Xenopus tropicalis: one gene and its partner. The protein of the gene in region 1 interacts with the protein of each later gene in a pairwise test. Links are inferred from orthologs where the notes say so. Each region holds a gene or a part of one and is shown in the gene's direction. Other genes may lie near its edges. The genes, in order: plekha5 and pdzd11.

Region 1 (4,307 bases):
GTGCCCCCCAGCTGTCTCTCACAAGGCTGTACCCCCAGTCAGTGCCCCAGCTGCTTCTCTCACAAGGCTGTACCCCAAGCAGTGCCCCCCAGCTGTCTCTCACAAGGCTGTACCCCCAGTTCAGTGCCCCCCAGCTGTCTCTCACAAGGCTTTACCCCAGTCAGTGCCCCCCAGCTGTCTCTCACAAGGCTTACCCCCAGTCAGTGCCCCCCAGCTGTCTCTCACAAGGCTGTACCCCAGTCAGTGCCCCCAGCTGTCTCTCACAAGCTGTCCCCAGTCAGTGCCCCCCAGCTGTCTCTCACAAGGCTGTACCCCCAGTCAGTGCCCCCCAGCTGTCTCTCACAAGGCTGTACCCCAGTCAGTGCCCCCAGCTGTCTCTCACAAGGCTGTACCCCAGTCAGTGCCCCCCAGCTGTCTCTCACAAGGCTGTACCCCCAGTCAGTGCCCCCCAGCTGTCTCTCACAAGGCTGTACCCCAGTCAGTGCCCCCCAGCTGTCTCACACAAGGCTGTACCCCAGTCAGTGCCCCCCAGCTGTCTCTCACAAGGCTGTACCCCCAGTCAGTGCCCCCCAGCTGTCTCTCACAAGGCTGTACCCCCAGTCAGTGCCCCAGCTGTCTCTCACAAGGCTGTACCCCCAGTCAGTGCCCCCCAGCTGTCTCTCACAAGGCTGTACCCCCAGTCAGTGCCCCCCAGCTGTCTCTCACAAGGCTGTTCCCCCAGTCAGTGCCCCCCAGCTGTCTCCACAAGGCTGTACCCCCAGTCAGTGCCCCAGCTGTCTCTCACAAGGCTGTACCCCAGTCAGTGCCCCCAGCTGTCTCTCACAAGGCTGTACCCCCAGTCAGTGCCCCAGCTGTCTCTCACAAGGCTGTACCCCCAGTCAGTGCCCCCAGCTGTCTCTCACAAGGCTGTACCCCAGTCAGTGCCCCCCAGCTGTCTCTCACAAGGCTGTACCCCCAGTCAGTGCCCCCAGCTGTCTCTCACAAGGCTGTACCCCAGTTCAGTGCCCCCCAGCTGTCTCTCACAAGGCTGTACCCCCAGTCAGTGCCCCCCCAGCTGTCTCTCACAAGGCTGTACCCCCAGTCAGTTGCCCCCCAGCTGTCTCTCACAAGGCTGTACCCAGTCAGTGCCCCCAGCTGTCTCTCACAAGGCTGTACCCCAGTCAGTGCCCCCAGCTGTCTCTCACAAGGCTGTACCCCCAGTCAGTGCCCCCAGCTGTCTCTCACAAGGCTGTACCCCCAGTCAGTGCCCCCAGCTGTCTCTCACAAGGCTTGTCCCCAGTCAGTGCCCCCCAGCTGTCTCTCACAAGGCTGTACCCCCAGTCAGTGCCCCCAGCTGTCTCTCACAAGGCTGTACCCCCAGTCAGTGCCGCTCTCCCCTCAGACAGCGCTTCTCTCTCAGTATCCGGGACCCTAGGGGAGGGGGCGGGGCTGGGCAGTGCGCGTCCCTGTAGGCTGCAGCTGATTGGGTTGCAGTGAGCGCGCAGGGAGGGGGCGGGGCGAGAGTGCGAGTGGAAGGGAGAGTAGTGCCCGGTGCGCGCTCCCGCTGCTGACACAAATGGCGGCCCCGGACTGGCTCCCCTCCCTGCCGGGCTCCTGGCGCTTCGGCATCTCCCGGGGGGGCCGCGTATTCTTTATCAAGTAAGTGTGAGTGTGAGTGTGAGTGTGAGTGTGAGTGTGAGTGTGAGTGTGAGGCACGGGCTGGGCCTGGGGTACCGGGGGGGGAGACTCACACTCACCTGCACTCACTGCCCCACTCACCCCTATCTACTCCCTGTGTCCCACTCACCCCTATCTACTCCCTGTGCCCCACTCACCCCTATCTACTCCCTGTGTCCCACTCACCCCTATCTACTCCCTGTGCCCCACTCACCCCTATCTACTCCCTGTGCCCCACTCACCCCTATCTACTCCCTGTGCCCCACTCACCCCTATCTACTCCCTGTGCCCCACTCACCCCTATCTACTCCCTGTGCCCCACTCACCCCTATCTACTCTCCTGCTGCCCCCCACTCACCCCTATCTACTCCCTGTGTCCCACTCACCCCTATCTACTCCCTGTGCCCCACTCACCCCTATCTACTCCTGGCCCCACTCACCCCTATCTACTCCCTGTGTCCCACTCACCCCTATCTACTCCCTGTGCCCCACTCACCCCTATCTACTCCCTGTGTCCCACTCACCCCTATCTACTCCCTGTGCCCCACTCACCCCTATCTACTCCCTGTGCCCCACTCACCCCTATCTACTCCCTGTGCCCCACTCTACCCCTATCTACTCCCTGTGCCCCACTCACCCTATCTACTCCCTGTGCCCCACTCACCCCTATCTACTCCCTGTGCCCCACTCACCCCTATCTACTCCCTGTGCCCCACTCACCCCTATCTACTCCCTGTGCCCCACTCACCCCTATCTACTCCCTGTGCCCCACTCACCCCTATCTACTCCCTGTGCCCCACTCACCCCTATCTACTCCCTGTGCCCCACTCACCCCTATCTACTCCCTGTGTCCCACTCACCCCTATCTACTCCCTGTGCCCCACTCACCCCTATCTACTCCCTGTGCCCCACTCACCCCTATCTACTCCCTGTGCCCCACTCACCCCTATCTACTCCCTGTGCCCCACTCACCCCTATCTACTCCCTGTGCCCCACTCACCCCTATGCCCCGCTCACCCCTATCTACTCCCTGTGCCCCACTCACCCCTATCTACTCCCTGAGCCCCACTCACCCCTATCTACTCCCTGTGCCCCACTCACTCCTATCTACTCCCTGTGTCCCACTCACCCCTATCTACTCCCTGTGCCCCACTCACTCCTATCTACTCCCTGTGTCCCACTCACCCCTATCTACTCCCTTGCCCCACTCACCCCTATCTACTCCCTGTGTCCCACTCACCCCTATCTACTCCCTGTGCCCCACTCACTCCTATCTACTCCCTGTGTCCCACTCACCCCTATCTACTCCCTGTGCCCCACTCACCCCTATCTACTCCCTGTGTCCCACTCACCCCTATCTACTCCCTGTGCCCCACTCACTCTATCTACTCCCCTGTGTACCCACTCACCCCTATCTACTCCCTGTGCCCCACTCAACCCTATCTACTCCCTGTGTCCCACTCACCCCTATCTACTCCCTGTGCCCCACTCACTCCATCTACTCCCTGTCCCACTCACCCCTATCTACTCCCTGTGCCCCACCACCCCATCTACTCCCTGTGCCCCACTCACCCCATCTACTCCCTGTGCCCCACTCACCCCCATCTACTCCCTGTGCCCCACTCACCCCTATCTACTCCCTGTGCCCCACTCACCCCTATCTACTCCCTGTGCCCCACTCACCCCTATCTACTCCCTGTGCCCCACTCACCCCTATCTACTCCCTGTGCCCCACTCACCCCCATCTACTCCCTGTGCCCCACTCACCCCTATCTACTCCTGTGCCCCACTCACCCCTATCTACTCCCTGTGTCCCACTCACCCCTATCTACTCCCTGTGCCCCACTCACCCCCATCTACTCCCTGTGCCCCACTCACCCCTATCTACTCCCTGTGTCCCACTCACCCCTATCTACTCCCTGTGCCCCACTCACCCCTATCTACTCCCTGTGCCCCACTCACCCCTATCTACTCCCTGTGCCCCACTCACCCCTATCTACTCCCTGTGCCCCACTCACCCCTATCTACTCCCTGTGCCCCACTCACCCCTATCTACTCCCTGTGCCCCACTCACCCCTATCTACTCCCTGTGCCCCACTCACCCCCATCTACTCCCTGTGCCCCACTCACCCCTATCTACTCCCTGTGCCCACTCACCCCTATCTACTCCCTGTGCCCCACTCACCCCTATCTACTCCCTGTGTCCCACTCACCCCTATCTACTCCCTGTGCCCCACTCACCCCTATCTACTCCCTGTGCCCCACTCACCCCCTATCTACTCCCTGTGCCCCACTCACCTGAGTCACACTCACCCCTATCTACTCCCTGTGCCCCACTCACCCCTATCTACTCCCTGTGCCCCACTCACCCCTATCTACTCCCTGTGCCCCACTCACCTGAGTCACACTCACCCCTATCTACTCCCTGTGCCCCACTCACCCCTATCTACTCCCTGTGCCCCACTCACCCCTATCTACTCCCTGTGCCCCACTCACCCCATCTACTCCCTGTGCCCCACTCACCCCTATCTACTCCCTGTGCCCCACTCACCCCTATCTACTCCCTGTGCCCCACTCACCTGAGTCACACTCACCCCTATCTACTCCCTGTGCCCCACTCACCCCTATCTACTCCCTTTGCCCCAGCTCAC
Region 2 (4,518 bases), on another chromosome or scaffold:
TTTCTGAAACACAAAGTCTAAATGACTATGGCATGCAAATATAGATATAGCCAAACCATTACAATGGTATGATGTTTCTATGTATGTTTATTTTTATTTATATAGCGCTACTTATGTATGCACCACTGTGCAGCAGAACAATGCATTAACAGAACAGGAACCAATGCAATAAATAGAAACAAATAAAAAGTAGTCACATTAAAGATTGAGTGCTAAATGTCAGAGACACTAGAAAGCAAAACCCTGCCTCATAGAGCTTACAATCTAATACAGGGATCCCCAACCTTTTATACCTGTAAGCCACATTCAAATGTAGAAAGTGTTGGAGGGCAACACAAGCATGAAAAAAGGTTCATGGGGGTAACAAGAAGACCTATAATTGGCTACTTAATAGCCCCTATGTGGACTGGCAGCCTACAGAAGGCTCAGTTTAGCATTATACTTGGTTTTTATGCCTCCAAAACTTGCCTCATTATCAGAAATTAAAAAATGAGCACCTGCTTTGAGGCCTCTGGGAGCAACATCCAAGGGGTTGGGGAACAACATGTTGCTCACGAGCCACTGGTTGGGGATCACTGATCTAATACAACCACAGATGGAGAGCTTCTTGCTACCCTCACCATGTATATGGATTCTTCCACCTCCCCCAGCCTCAAATACACACAATTATAAACCAGTATTTGGTGGAATCCCAGCACTTTCTGCACTACTCCGATCCGGCCAGATTTTGGATGCAGCATTCAGCCACATTTACTGCGAAGCGGTTTTGCACATTACAAGTTCCCTACACTGCCCATTAATAGAAAGTGAGAATAAAAGGCAACACAATTCCTTTGGCCCCCAAGTCCACCTTCCCCCCTGCACAATGTAGTGGTAGATTCCTAGGGACCTATAAGACTTTCATTTATTAGCAATCAGTATTAAGGCACATAAAGGAGGAAGAGTATAGATTGATAGAATCAGCTTTATTTACAGAAGGTTGCAGGGAACCCTGCTACATAGACTGAATTCTAGAATGGAAGACATGGAAAGAAAGATGCCACTGCAGTCTAGCTGAGCTGATCGCCAGTCTAGGTGTCACTGAACTACAGCTCCCATCACACCGTGTAAGAGCTCAGCAGCTAACGGAGCAGCAGGCTGTAAGCCCCAGCTGATGAATGACAAAGTAACAGACGGTGCGCCTTGTATCATTCATATTGCCCTCAGCTCACTGCCAGGGAGTCGCTCCATGGCTACCCCAGGCGGCTTTTCGCAGAAGACGCAAACGTTGAAAAAAGCGAAAATGGGCGTGTCTGTATCAGACCAGTCATGGGAATGAGCTGCCGCCGTGACGGAGAAATACAGAATAAGCCAATACTTACACAGCCGTACCGCGCCCCGTTCGCTCCACAGCCCCATGAAGCTCATTCCCAGCGCACAGAGTTTGGCTCCTTGTTAACGTCACTAGCAATTCGAACCTAGCGCCTTCCCTAGTGCGCATGCGCAAACTTCCCATTTCCGGGAAGGATTATGACTAGCGGCTGAACTGAAAACGAGGCTACCATTCATTTTGGAACGCAAGCTTAAATTAAATCTAAATAGCTTATTGGGCATGCGTCTTTGCCGACATGTTTATTGAGGGCAGCGGTGGAAAGATAACCTGCTGATACCGGAAAAACTTCGTACTCTATGTTAGGAATGGAAGGCCGCCCCAATTATGATGAATACCCATATCCAGTGGTCTTTCTGCCTCCTTACGAGAATCCACCAGCATGGATCCCCCCGCAGGAGGTAATCTTACTGCTCACTTTACGGTCACAAGCTTGATATATGCTGCAGTGTTGCTGAACTACGTTCGGTGTTTATTTCAGGGAAAAAACACTATGCAAGAGAATGCAATTCTAACCAGTTTTCCAATATACATTATTTATACATGTTCATTGAGATAAAGTTATTTGTAAATATAATTGCTACTAATAAGCAATGTCTGTCTGGCTGTTTATAGTTATTGTTCTGACTCATGATACTGTATGGCAGAAGCTAGCGAATTAACAGCTGTTTTCTGGAACATTGTTTTAGGCTAATGTCCCACGGAGAGATTAGTCGCTGCCATTTTTAAAAAGCGAGTTACAGCTACAAGTCGATCGCTTTGTCTCTACATAGAGAAGAATAGAAATCGCCAGTTATAATCCACTTCGAATCGCTTTATTGAGTGATTTGACAAAGAAAACATTGTCATTCAAAACTATTGGAATTGCTAAAGGTAAAACCTACTGAGCAGGAAGTCGCTGCGATTTCCCCATTGCACTGAATGTAATTTCTAATTGTGGGCGGGTAAAATGACACCTGGATTTGTGGGAAATAGAATCGCTCTGTTGTTGAAATCTCTAGTAATCGGTTGTTAGGAAAAGACAAGCAGCTTGTCGCTGGAACTCGCTTTTTAAAAATCGCAGCCACTAAATCTCCCCATGGGACATTAGCATTAGTCAGAACCAGTGAAGAGAAAGGAATAAACATTTACTTTTTCATCAGCAATAACCTTTACAAAGAATGTTAGAACCACAGAAATTTTAAATGAATGTATATTGGAAAGTTGCTTGGAAATATATTTTCTTTGTGAGTGCATAGAGCCAATCAGTTGTGCTGTGCAGAATTGTGGGCTGTGGAATTGTGAGTCAGGCAATCAGTAGATTCTGGCAAATGCCAGAGGGGCTGCTGTAAGATGCTATAGGCCAGTGATCCCCAACCAGTGGCTCGTGAGCAACATGTTGCTCCCCAACCCCTTGGATGTTGCTCCCAGTGGCCTCAAAGCAGCTGCTTATTTTTGAATTACTGACTTGGGGGCAAGTTTTGGTCGCATAAAGCCCAATGTAAAGCCAAACAGAGCCTCCTGTAGGCTGCCAGTCCACATAGGGGCTACCAAATAGCCAATAAGAGTCCTTATTTGCACCCCCAGGAAATTTTTCCATGCTTGTGTTGCTCCCCAACACTTTTTCCATTTGAATGTGGCTCACGGGTAAAAAAGGTTGGGGATCCCTGCCATAGGCAGTCACTGTTTATTGCAGTTGTCCCCAACCAGTGGCTCGTGAGCAATATGTGACACATTGGGCTACTAAATAACCAATTACGGCTTTTATTAGCCTTTATTAGTCACCCCGAGTGTCTTTTTTTCATGCCTGTGTTGCTCTCCGACTTTTTTTCTATTTAAATGTTGCTCATGGGTAAAAAAGGTTGGGGAAAATCGATCATTCCAAGAAAATGGAAATCTATAGACCCCCCACTATTCACAGAATGGCTAACCAACACAGAGGATATTAGGCAAATGGAGGAAATAACCTTCATGATACACAATAAAAGTCACCACTATAGGAAAATATGGACCCCCTGGATAGACTATCTAAGATCACTATAAAACATCATCAAAAAACAGCCATCTACATAGGGCACTCTAGAAGTAAGATTTACAAGTTATAGACAATTGAATACTTACTGGAAAATGTAGACATGACTTGATGACGGCTTGCCTGAAAATGAAACTGTACAACAATGTAAAGACTAACATTTGCAATGTTCCCCTCCCTACCCCTCCCTTTTTTCCTTATGTACCCCCTCCCCATATTTACAAAATGATAAATAAAGAATTTAAAAAAAAAAAAAAAGGTTGGGGACCCCTGGTTTAATGGGTTAGTGAGAGAGTTTTGGCCTCAGTCTTGACCTGTTCTGAGCAATGAAAGGGTCACCAGTTGCAGCTGTTAAATAAATGTTATAATCTTGCAGGCACTGTTAGCAACCATACCTGTGTATTTATACGGTGAAACTTTGTAAGAGTAATATGACATTAGGCATAAGAATGGCTACCCAGCACAGTACAGTGAGGTGTTCTGGATTATATCTGCCTTTTTAGCCTTGTTTACAATACAGAGTGGTGTTTACTATAAATAGATCTGTTCATGTACAATAATCAGATGTAAAATAATAACTTTTTACAACTCATTCTAAAGGTGGCCATACACGCACCGATAATATCGTACGAAACCTCGTTTCTTACGATATTCGGTACGTGTATGGTATGTCGGCGAGTTGACCGATATCGCAGGAAGCTGCTGATATCGGCCGACTCGCCGATCGAACCAGTTTGAAAATTTTGATTGGGCGCCATAGAAGGCGCCTGACCAAAATCTCCCTTCAGAGCTGAATCGGCAGAAGGAGGTAGAAATCCTATTGTTTCTACCTCCTTACCTGCCGATTCAGCCCTGAATGGTGTGTGGCGGATCTGACGATGTTTTGTGCGACCGATGTATGGCCAGCTTAAGTCTTCAGTGCATTTGGCATGTTCAGCCCTCAAAAAGGCTTATTCATTAAACTGCACTGCAACCTCAGGGAACTGTAAAATGAATTGCAGATATCCTTATCATTTACTAATGTGGCACCAGGGAGTTTCACTCTGCTTTATTACAGGATTATGTCAAACAGGAGCAACAGTTGTAGTAGAATTAAAAGGTCCTTGCTTTCAAGTGATTGTTGGGATCATTTTTTTTT

Evidence for each region.
Region 2: the proteins of plekha5 (region 1) and pdzd11 interact in binary tests that used the Homo sapiens proteins (3 or more experiments, as listed by UniProt). The two-hybrid records come from large-scale screens. The link is inferred for Xenopus tropicalis from reciprocal best matches to the Homo sapiens genes PLEKHA5 and PDZD11.

What each region holds. Positions count from the first base shown.
Region 1 is NC_030679.2:663,919-668,225, forward strand, and holds the start of plekha5 (pleckstrin homology domain-containing family A member 5), read left to right. Parts: upstream 1-1,474; 5' UTR 1,475-1,555; coding exon 1,556-1,638; intron 1,639-4,307.
Region 2 is NC_030684.2:38,884,319-38,888,836, reverse strand, and holds the start of pdzd11 (PDZ domain-containing protein 11), read left to right. Parts: upstream 1-1,629; 5' UTR 1,630-1,677; coding exon 1,678-1,770; intron 1,771-4,518. UniProt on the Homo sapiens protein: Mediates docking of ADAM10 to zonula adherens by interacting with PLEKHA7 which is required for PLEKHA7 to interact with the ADAM10-binding protein TSPAN33.